Saccharomyces cerevisiae S288C: one gene and its partners. The protein of the gene in region 1 purifies or fractionates together with the protein of each later gene. This does not show direct contact. Each region holds a gene or a part of one and is shown in the gene's direction. Other genes may lie near its edges.

Region 1 (3,386 bases):
AAACACCTTCATTTCTCAAAATGCTTTCAACGTCCCACATCATTTCGACTGATATATATGCTCACTTTCTGAGTAGAATCGGTGGTGTTAACAATCCAGAACAAAACAAAATAATAAAAGATAATGTGAAGACTGATTTTATGAATCCTGTCAGAATATTCGCAAACCCCGGCATCACAGATGCTTTAGATAATATAGTGAATGGATCGGGATCCAAGCCGCATAAATCAAGAATAAGCTCAAATCCCCGTTATTCTCAGCTCTTTGGTTCAGAAAATGACAACATTTTCAAAGATAAACTCTTCGACGATGAAAACGATAATACCTCAGAAATTTCTGTTGTCGAGGATCAGTTGGATCACCCACGTAATATGGAGAAAGTAAGTGTTTCCAGCGGGAATTCAGGCCTAAATCCTAGCCAATTTTATGGGTCAAACAACTTTAGGGATAATATAGCATCCTTGACTATTTCAATTGATCAGATTGAGAAAGAGCTTGAACTTTTAAGGCATTTGATTTTGAAGGCAGATCTGACCAACAATCAAATGCAGTTGAAAATTTTAAAAAAGTCACAAAGAACCCTATTAAAGGAACTAGAAATGAAGGAACTGTTGAAACAGCAATATATGGTACAAGAAAATGGTAATAGTTTGTTCAGAAAAACTAAGATATACATTAGGTCGTACTTCAGTGAGAATTCTAGTAATGGCCTAAAAGAAATAACTTATTATATCATCAATATCCATCATTTTAACAATGGGCAGGTAAGTTCTTGGGATATGGCAAGGAGATATAATGAATTTTTTGAATTAAATACATATTTGAAAAAGAATTTTAGGGATCTGATGAGGCAGTTGCAAGATTTGTTCCCGTCAAAAGTGAAAATGTCATTGAAATATCATGTTACAAAAACATTGCTTTATGAGGAACGAAAGCAAAAACTTGAAAAGTACTTGCGAGAACTATTATCTATTTCTGAAATATGCGAAGATAACATTTTCAGAAGATTTTTGACAGATCCTACCCCATTCAAACTGAACAAGGAATATATGCATGATGATATTCTGGAGGAGCCACTTCATGAACCTATTGGTAGTAGTAATAGCACAAGTAATAGCAGTTCTGTTGTTGATTTACAAAGCTCTGAAGACGGCGGTGAATTGAATTTCTATGAAGATGAAAGACATTTTTTCACCGATTCTGGCTATCCTTTTTATTCGCAAAATAAATCTTTTGTTAAACAGATATGTGACTTATTTATTTCGCTCTTTGCTTTAAATAAGGCCAACGCGGGTTGGTTAAGAGGAAGGGCTATAATTACCGTTTTACAACAGCTTCTTGGGAGCACTATTGAAAAGTATATAAAGGTCAGCATTCAAAAATTGAGATCAGAGGATCAAGTATTTGAAGCAATAGTTACATTCAAGAATATGCTATGGGGTGATAACGGTCTGTTCGAAAGAAAAAGAAATGAAACGGCAGAGGCAACAAGAAGCGAAGGTGAAAGGTTACGGACGGAACAACTCGCTTTAACCAGTTTGCAAAGACTCTTCGCAGACACTTGTGGTCGTGTAGTTGGTCTAAGAGATTCTCATGAAGCTGCTGGCCGGGTCCATGCCATGCTACAGAATCCGTATTTAAATGCCAGCTTACTGTTGGAAGCTCTTGATGCAATTTTATTGGACATAATATGTAATGACTGAAAATAAAACTTGACTAAGTACCGAACAATCTAAAAAAAAAAGTGTAATTGTCACAATAGCAAATAAATTGGTACACTTCTTCAGCCGCTTTAAAAATTGTGTACTTCTTCTTAAAACAATTGGGAAGTATTTATTTTTCACGCTTTTGTAATCTGAAAAAAAAAAAAATATCAATGATATTCAACAGGCTAGCAACTAACGAAATCAAAAGAAATAAAATAAGCCATAAGCTATAGTATCATAAAGTCAAAATGCCTAGATTAGAAGAGATTGACGATTTCAATGATATCGACGACCTTGATATGGAATTGGCCGAGTTAGATCCATCTTTGAGGACGCCGATCGCTCCCAAGATAACGCCTAAGGTTGTAAGGAGCCAGGACCAAGAGAACCCTGCATTTTTACCTGGCACGAATAACAACAGTAATAGCAACAACAATAGTAGCAACGAAAAAGAGCAGTTGAGTTTTATTAACCCAAAAACTGGTAAGGTTGAACGTTCGGAGGCTATTTCGAAGAAAGATTTAGAAGAAGTCAAAAGATTCCAAGTACTCTATCCATGTTACTTTGACATAAACAGATCACATAAGGAAGGGAGAAGGGTTCCTAAGGAGTTGGCTGTTGAAAATCCTTTGGCTAAAACTATGGCAGATGCTGTCCGTGAATTGGGAATATTATGCATTTTTGAAGGTGAAAAATGTCACCCACAAGATTTTGGTAATCCTGGTAGAATTCGTGTACTTTTCAAAGAAAATGGACAATTAATTGGCGCAGCCACTAAATTCAAAGGTGGAAAGAGGCAATTAATGAAAGCTGTTGGGGAGTATATGAAAAGACATCCAACTACTATTGAATCTTTAAGGGAGATTCCATATGGCCCTGATTTCGACAATATTGAATTCAAAAAGATTCCACGTGTAAAGGGATTCAAAATGAATGAGATTGTTCCGCTGCATAGTCCGTTCTTGATGGGCCACCCAATGACAAAATCTGTTTACGAAACTCCTAAGATTACAGCGGCAGAAAAGTCGTTCAAGCCACCAAAAAATAAGTACAAAGTAGTTAGAAGATGATTGTCTCCTTTACCCATTTATGTATATGTATATGTATATTGAGATTAATATATTAATATATTAATAGATTATAATAGCAGAACTATAAGAATATGATGTTTGTTCAGATCAAGTGCTAAATGACTTGTTGTATCAGCTTTTAAATTTTTACATCAAGACAAATCAATTATTCGTATTATTTCGTCTGTAGTTGAAACAGAGTTCAATAAGCCAAGAGTTTTGAAGCAGCTACAGGCAAGAGGTACCGAAACACAGAAAAAAGTAACAAGAAAACTCTCTCGCTCTATATATATGTGTGTGAATATACGCTATTTATACACATATATAGATGAGCGGCGTGCATGTATCGTAGTAACTAAGATTAATAGTTCTTAAAAGAGATAAATAAATCATTTAATTAAAAAACTGATTTTTAAGCGGAGGCACCGTAGGTTTGAAGGTATTGTTCGATCTTGCTTTTCTCTTCTGCTGTTATTCTGCCTTCCAAATAGGTAATTATGTGAATTAAGGAGACAATGCTCAAGACTGGGATACCGTATTTTTTGCTAACAGTTTGAGTGGCGCTGAGTCCTTCTTTATCGTCAGTACTCACAACTTCCTGTCTATCAAG
Region 2 (4,182 bases), on another chromosome or scaffold:
GACGATAGGGCCGGTTTCACCAAAAAGAAAAACATTCACAATGCAGAGGACGTTAAGCAAAAGATTATTATGAATAGCATTAATGTCCTCTTAACTCGTGGCGTGCGTGGTCTGTATGTTTATGCATACGATCCTGAATTAAGAGAGAGACTGCTTCGTCCATCAAAAAAATAGGAAGTACATAGTATAGACAAATTTTATAAATATTAACTTTTATTTGTTGCGATCTTCACTAATCTACGCAGATTTTGCCTTCGGTATATTAGCCTTCTTCTTGTTGAGTGCTTCCCAAGTGATTCCACCAAATACTATAAACATCCCCACCCATTGCTGGAAACGTACACTCTTACCGAAGACAATAATACTCAAAATCATCGAGACCATTTTCCTGGTGACTGTTATCATGATCAAAACTAAAGAGCCAAATTGTTCTAGAGTATAGAAAATAAAGCATTGTCCCATAGCGCCACAGAACGAATAAAGCATTAAATAGCCCCACACTTGTGGGTCCATCGTCAATACAGAAACGGCATTATCCCATTGTTTGCAGTCGATCACAATAAAATACAAAATATTCCACAATATCACGAAGAGGTTCAGTGTAAACATCAAGTGTGCACCTGTTATCAAAGTTTGTTTTCCCTTTTCTTTGGCCTTATTGGCCTTTAGTAGCTTATCTTGGGTGGCGTTGGTCAATCCATCAAGGAATAAACTAGAGAAAAGTAGTCCAAACCCTTGTAATTTGTTATCATTTCCGCTCTCATTAAAGGATCTCTTCAACTTTTTACCATCGTTGCCACCTATAGTGAAAATAGTGACACCGAGACTTACCAAGAGAGCTACAACTTTTTTTTGGCTTGCTATGGGCGTCCTATACAAAAGCAAATGCACCAACAACACGGGGATCATCTTGCATGACTTTGCTAACATGTAAGTGAGATAATCCACGTGCTTTAAAGAAGTTGTAGCCAGCGGGCCTGAACTACTCTGTGTAAATGATATCAACATCAATTGTTTCCAATGATCTTTAATCATTTTTCTGGGCGGATATTCCACCTTCTTCCAGTTTAAGTACAGGTAGCCCATCATCATTGCCACAGAAGCTTGTATGAGGGATATTACATTAGGGAATTGAAACTTTCCCATGGAGTTTGGCCAGGTTCTTGTAGCCAAAGGCTCCTGTACTAATGCCCACGTCAAAAAAGTAGCATATATACCAATCGCACAGATCACCAAACTGGATGTACTTCCCGCCATACAAATATACGAATACTGCCTTGTTTACTTCTTCTTGTTACGTTGTAATTCTGGTTCTAATTACATTGCTGTCATTTTTTCATGTTCGATGGGATCTACAAAACAACCTTTAGAAGCGATCTCAGGGAAGCTTTGGAAGAGAAACAGCTGATGATTCTGGCATTCCACAAACTACAACAACGAACCAAACGACATATTCCATTGCAGTGATTTGATTGGGAGTAAGCTTTTATAAACGAGCAGACCAATATGATTTACGTAGTATTTCGTTGTCTTTACCACATCGTTGTTCGTGATAAGTTCTGAAAATTTTTTTTGGAGTATATTTGCTAGAGTTAATCCAACAATATTAGCATAAACGAGCAGCTGGAGACTAGGTTATTTGAATTATTTGAGCATCAAAGTGATCAATTGTATTATATTACAGTGTAATTTTCTTTTTTTCCATATTGAATCAAAAACTAGCCACGCTTGAAACTAAAGATGGTTGCCTATTCTCCAATCATTGCCACCTATGGTAATCGTGCAGAACAGTTTTTAGAAACAGACTCAGACTTCGCTAAGTATCATGCGAAATTGAATAAAAAGTTGCAACACTTGAGGAGCCGTTGCCATTTGGTCACCAAGGATACAAAGAAATACTCAAGTAAAAATAAGTATGGCGAAATTAACTCCGAGGATTATGATAATAAAACTAAATTGATTGGTGTTTTGATTTTACTACACGCTGAAAGGGACTTGGCACTGGCTGAAACTTTGAAATTGAGAGCTCGTCAAAGAGGAAAGTTAAAGAAAAGTGAAGAAAAGGTTTTATCCACAAGATTGAAGAAGGCCTGCAAGACTGCTGATAAATTGGTTAACGTCACTCAAAATGAACAGCAATGGATAACTCGTGCCCAATATTTAGCGTTCGCTAAATTGGTACATTCAGAGTACCTAATTAATGGAAAAAGGTTCAAGAGGAAGGACAATGCCAAAATTTCGAACAACCTAGCCCTCGTTTTCGCCGCATTGGAACACTTGAAGAATCTAAGCTTATTAGCTGAAGAAGTTGTAGATAACATTGTTAATAAATACCAGTACTCTCTCAAGCAGTACGCGGGAAATTTAATTACAACGCCCGAAATAAATAACTTTATCGTGGAAAGAGTTCAATCTGATGAGAACAAGGACGATGAGCTTGTGAAATTGTTATTAGACAATGGATTCAATATGAAAAAAATTACAACCTCAACTGAAGATCAAAAGGTTACCACTAACATAAACTGGAGATCTTTCAACGCCAAGATAATCGATGCTGAAGTTGCTCAATTTTTGGAACAAGGTCTATCTATCCACCCAACTCAGATTACTCAATATACACAGAGGCTATCAAAATTGGAGAAAGCTTTAGACCGTCATGAATTTTTCATCGCAAACCACGACGATCAAGATGACATAGACGAGATGGTTGAAAATAGTTCTGAAAACAATCAGATAATTTTAGCCTACATTAAATATAATATTCTTTTGACCTCTATATCTCGTGAAAGAGATTTGTTTACTCATTTATGGAATCAATGGCTGAAATTAAATACTTCATTACCATCGAAGTTAACCAAATATAAAGAAATGGAACGTATTGTGAAGAATTTGACAAAATATTTATCGGACATAATGGAGCTACCTGGTGTGTATTCAGATGACGAGCTGCTAAGCCAATTAGACTTATGCAAGCTGTATTTCCAGTTATTTCTGAATACGGGCTGCCTGAGTGTTTTATATCAGTCGAAAGGCAGATATATGGAGGCGTTAGCTCTATATGTGGACGCTTACCGAAGATTAGAAAACAAATTATCTGAAATTGAATCTCTAGACGAAATCTTACTTCCAGCAAATCTTTTGTCATTGAATTCTGTCCGAAGCTTACAAAAGAGAATCGAAAACGGTGGTAATAGTGTCATTACTTTGGCGGAATACGAAAAAAGAAATCATGGTGGCAGCTTAGGGAAATATGATTTGACAGTGATTGAAAAATTGGATAGTAAAAAAATACTGCCAACGGACATACAATTGAAAAATTTATTCCCTCTCAAGCCAAAAATGCTGCCCATTCCTAGTAAACCAACACTTTTTGATTTGGCCTTCAACTACATAACATATGATAAGCAAGAGCCCTCAGCTTCTCAAGTGAAAGATTCAGTCACAGAAACCGAGAGCATCTCTCAAACACCAATTTCTAATGAGCAGACGGAAGGAGAGCCTAAAAAGAAGCGTGGTTTCTTGGGCCTATTTGGTCGTTAATATTTTTCTAGTATGACTGTATTTATAGTACTATATAGATTATTCCATTTAAACAAATGATGATTGCCAACTATAGTAGCCAAATAACGAAGTGCATTACTTAACACATCTTATTTTTATCTACTGAAGATATCGCCAAATTACAGCACATGCTAAAAAGAAGATGTTTAGGGTCCTTTACATAACTATACGTTAAATTATTTTTGCTGCTGAAAATAAGGAAAATAAAAACAAAGATAAAAATAGAAAGAATGGGAAAATTTAGTAACAGCTTTTGCCCAATATGCTCAAAACCGAGTTATCTATTACAAAGCGTTCCTTTTATAGAAAAAACTGACAATCAAATGTAGTAATTGGCTATTGTTAACAACAACGTTGGAATGGAATAATTTCCACGTCTCGATTTTTGGTTCAACTTGAGTCTTTATCAAGTCTTTAAATGAGAAAGAATCGACATCATCCGAGTATCGTTTATCGGGCCCTTTTCTTTTGTCAATCATTTGAATACCGAATCTAGAACCATCCGATGTGGAAATTTTGAATATTATATCTGGGAATTTAGGACCGCTCGAACCAAAGACTTTTACAGTCAGTTCAGCTAGTTTTTCACCCCTGATGGTTTTAAGCACTCCTCTTTCATAC
Region 3 (4,055 bases), on another chromosome or scaffold:
ATAAAAGAGTGAAACACTAGAATTGTTATCATCATTTGTTGATGCCCTATCATCTGAATCATTCCCATCTTGTTGACCCTCCTCTTCTTCATGATTTTCTTGACCCTGGCTTTTTCGATGAAGTTCTTTCTTTTGTTGTTCCTTTAATTGTTTTCTGTTCTTTTCCTTCAATAAAAGCTTGGCCTGCTTTCTCTTTTTAAAAAAGTTCCAGTCTCTTTTGTATAAAGTTTGTTTAACGTCCTGGATTGTTGTGTATGCTAGTAAAGTTGAATCTATCAAAGAAATCAACCTGCAATGAATGGAAGATGTCAGTTCTATGATAATAGAGTGGATGGTGTTAATCAGCTCTTGTAACACGCTTGGATGCCTCTTGAAAAATGAATCATCTCTACAGAGGTAGTAATAGAGAAAAGATAAACAACTTAACCAATACGATTGCAATACAATGTCACCTGCTTGCAAAGAAGCTTCTGTGGAGACCAATCCTGCAGCTCCGTTGGATGAAACACTGGTCAGAATTTTTGTTAGAGATAAGTTAATTAACGATTCTACTAGTGGCTTGGACTTTATCTTATGATCAGCATATCTAATACATTGGTATATTAAACCAGCTGGATAGGTGGTCATGTGAGGTTCCTTTTGTGGTAGCGATATCAATAGATTCAGGATTTGTGGTATATCAAAGTCGGAAAATTCCAAGTATTGGTCCGGAGATAGTTTATCATAATCAAATGTACCGTGGTAGTCTTCTGTATATGTGGGATCTATTAGGGTTGCAGCTCCCTGAGAATGATTCATGTTCTTTTCATCAGAATCCAGAAACATGTTGTCATTTGCACCAGGGGACAGGGTCAAACCGGCGACTTGTAAGTCAATATTATCAAAAGTTTCTTTCGTGGTAGAGTCTTCATTACTCATTAGAAGAGAGGTGTCTTTCGGTTGGGAAATTTGAGGTATTTCATGTTTTACTTCGGTACGGTATCGAAACATATTGTTTTGTTCCAAAAATTCCGAAAGTGGTGAATATGGAGGAACCATATCCCAAGCGGTTAATCCAGCCTTATTCGTCATGTTGAAGTTTATCTCGTCGAATGCGTTGAACAGCTCCAAGCAACAGTTCCTTCTCTGCAGACTGAAACTCCACATCAAAGGTGTGTAACCTACAATGTCGTCGACAAGATTCAAATCTAATTTTGCACCAGAAGGATTATCATGTAGTAACTCAATGTAGTCTGCACGATCAAATACAATGATATAATGAATCAAGGCAACGCCTGTGACGGATTTATCATTAACGTTTTTGACTTCCCTTAATAACTCCTTGAATGTAGTAAATTCTTCTTCACGGTCTTCGTCGCAGATCAATTTGACTAGTTGTACCCAGGAATCGCATTCTGGTCTATCTTCTTGGTCAAGTTTAAACAAAGTTGATTTTACCAGCGCGAGTTTCTCCTGAGCGTGAGAGGAGCCTACTGGTTTGTCCACCGTTCTGTCCTCTATTCTAGCATCATCCCAAACACTGTTCATTGTTCACGAATGCCTTGTGAGTTCTGTAGACCGGCAATTGCGGCTCTCCTATACTTCAGTCACTACCCATATTGTTATAGTATGATGGTCTTTTCGTTCATCTCAATATCGAAAAATCACCGCTAACGATAAAGACATCAACAAAGTGAAAAAAAATAGTGGTAAAACAAGATAATGAAAAGTGGTTGAACAGCAAGGATGCAGAAGAGAAGGGAAAGAAAACACAGCATCGAGTCTAACTAAAGGATGGTTTTGGCTGATTTGGGGAAGCGGATTAATTCTGCTGTGAATAACGCGATTTCCAATACACAGGATGACTTTACTACATCCGTAGATGTAATGTTAAAGGGCATCGTGACTGCGTTGTTAGAATCGGATGTGAATATTGCCCTGGTTTCTAAGTTACGAAATAATATAAGGTCACAGCTGCTGAGTGAGAACCGTAGTGAGAAGTCCACAACAAACGCACAAACTAAGAAGCTTATTCAGAAAACGGTGTTTGATGAACTGTGTAAGTTGGTCACCTGCGAAGGTAGTGAAGAGAAGGCCTTTGTGCCCAAGAAGAGAAAGACAAACATCATCATGTTTGTTGGGCTGCAAGGTTCAGGTAAAACTACTTCCTGTACCAAGTTAGCAGTTTACTACTCGAAGAGAGGTTTCAAAGTGGGTTTGGTATGTGCGGATACTTTCCGTGCTGGTGCATTTGACCAATTGAAACAAAACGCTATAAGAGCAAGAATTCCATTTTATGGGTCATATACGGAGACTGACCCTGCCAAAGTTGCAGAAGAAGGTATTAACAAGTTTAAGAAAGAGAAGTTTGATATCATCATCGTTGATACTTCAGGTAGGCATCATCAAGAAGAAGAGTTGTTCCAAGAAATGATTGAAATATCCAATGTCATCAAGCCTAATCAAACTATCATGGTTTTAGATGCTTCCATTGGTCAAGCTGCAGAGCAACAATCCAAGGCTTTCAAAGAATCGTCCGATTTTGGTGCCATTATATTAACCAAGATGGACGGCCACGCTAGAGGGGGTGGGGCAATTTCGGCCGTTGCAGCCACAAACACTCCGATTATCTTTATTGGTACAGGTGAGCACATTCATGATTTGGAAAAGTTCTCGCCTAAGTCATTCATATCTAAACTGTTGGGTATTGGTGATATAGAGAGTCTCTTTGAGCAATTACAAACCGTTTCCAACAAGGAAGATGCAAAAGCCACAATGGAAAACATCCAAAAGGGTAAGTTCACCTTGCTAGATTTCAAGAAACAGATGCAAACAATAATGAAAATGGGTCCATTATCAAATATAGCGCAGATGATTCCTGGTATGAGTAATATGATGAATCAAGTAGGGGAGGAGGAAACCTCTCAAAAGATGAAGAAAATGGTTTACGTTTTGGATTCTATGACTAAAGAAGAACTAGAATCTGATGGTAGAATGTTCATTGAAGAGCCTACAAGAATGGTTCGTGTAGCTAAAGGTTCAGGTACTTCTGTGTTCGAGGTAGAAATGATATTGATGCAACAGCAGATGATGGCAAGAATGGCACAAACCGCAACCCAGCAACAACCAGGAGCCCCTGGTGCCAATGCTAGGATGCCTGGCATGCCAAACATGCCGGGTATGCCAAACATGCCTGGTATGCCGAATATGCCTGGTATGCCAAAAGTGACTCCACAAATGATGCAGCAGGCACAACAAAAGCTGAAGCAAAATCCAGGTCTAATGCAAAATATGATGAACATGTTTGGTGGCGGAATGGGCGGAGGAATGGGCGGAGGAATGCCTGATATGAACGAAATGATGAAAATGATGCAAGATCCACAAATGCAACAAATGGCAAAACAATTCGGTATGGGCTAAAGGCCACCATTTGAATATACACAGTATATATATATATGTATGTATGCATATTTCAAATAACTTGTTTAGCTTTCATCCTTTCGAATACCTCCTTCAATAAAAAAAAAAAGAAAAATCTTGTTAAATTATAAAGTGTTCATTCTATTTTTTTGAATTGTAAAATAACAAAATAAATATTCGATTGAACTGCCATGGAAAAGGTTCTACCCTCTAACACGAGTACCCGTGCTTCTTGTTCCTATAATTTACTGTTTTATCACTTCATTATTTCTTTTCAACGCCCGGTAAGTTATCCAAAGACACTACACCATTAGCAATAAGCTGCGGATCCACAAGCTTGTCTCTATGCTCATAAAGTATCTTGTAACCAGATTTGATGGTACCTTCAGTAACTTGCAAGGTTTGGCCCACTTTCGCTGCGGTAATAGGGATCTGAAAGAGCAGGATGTTTAGATAGATGGAAACAACAGCGATAGTAATAGGGGATTTACCTGCAATTTCTTTGATCTCTTTACATTTCTTTGCGGTATATTCAGCAGAAGTAGTGACTTGCATCGGTAAGCCCAGATGCGAACAAAACCTGGGTATATAAGTTAGGTTTTGTGCACCACTCATATTATCGGTATCAATCTTCAAGAAACCATCTTCGCTCTTGC

Evidence for each region.
Region 2: the proteins of SEC65 (region 1) and SRP68 purify together in Saccharomyces cerevisiae (affinity purification with mass spectrometry; 5 studies listed by BioGRID, with this or other methods). This does not show direct contact.
Region 3: the proteins of SEC65 (region 1) and SRP54 purify together in Saccharomyces cerevisiae (affinity purification with mass spectrometry; 5 studies listed by BioGRID, with this or other methods). This does not show direct contact.

What each region holds. Positions count from the first base shown.
Region 1 is NC_001145.3:57,256-60,641, reverse strand, and holds SEC65 (RNA-binding signal recognition particle subunit SEC65), read left to right. Parts: upstream 1-1,954; coding exon 1,955-2,776; downstream 2,777-3,386. Other genes in the region: MDM1 (Mdm1p), read left to right, coding at 1-1,703; orotate phosphoribosyltransferase URA5, read right to left, coding at 3,189-3,386. UniProt on the Saccharomyces cerevisiae protein: Signal-recognition-particle (SRP) assembly has a crucial role in targeting secretory proteins to the rough endoplasmic reticulum (ER) membrane.
Region 2 is NC_001148.4:86,777-90,958, forward strand, and holds SRP68 (signal recognition particle subunit SRP68), read left to right. Parts: upstream 1-1,740; coding exon 1,741-3,540; downstream 3,541-4,182. Other genes in the region: YPL245W (uncharacterized protein), read left to right, coding at 1-174; UDP-galactose transporter HUT1, read right to left, coding at 238-1,257; IQG1 (Iqg1p), read right to left, coding at 3,846-4,182. UniProt on the Saccharomyces cerevisiae protein: Component of the signal recognition particle (SRP) complex, a ribonucleoprotein complex that mediates the cotranslational targeting of secretory and membrane proteins to the endoplasmic reticulum (ER).
Region 3 is NC_001148.4:710,747-714,801, reverse strand, and holds SRP54 (RNA-binding signal recognition particle subunit SRP54), read left to right. Parts: upstream 1-1,773; coding exon 1,774-3,399; downstream 3,400-4,055. Other genes in the region: YPR089W (uncharacterized protein), read right to left, coding at 1-1,527; transcription factor SUA7, read right to left, coding at 3,664-4,055.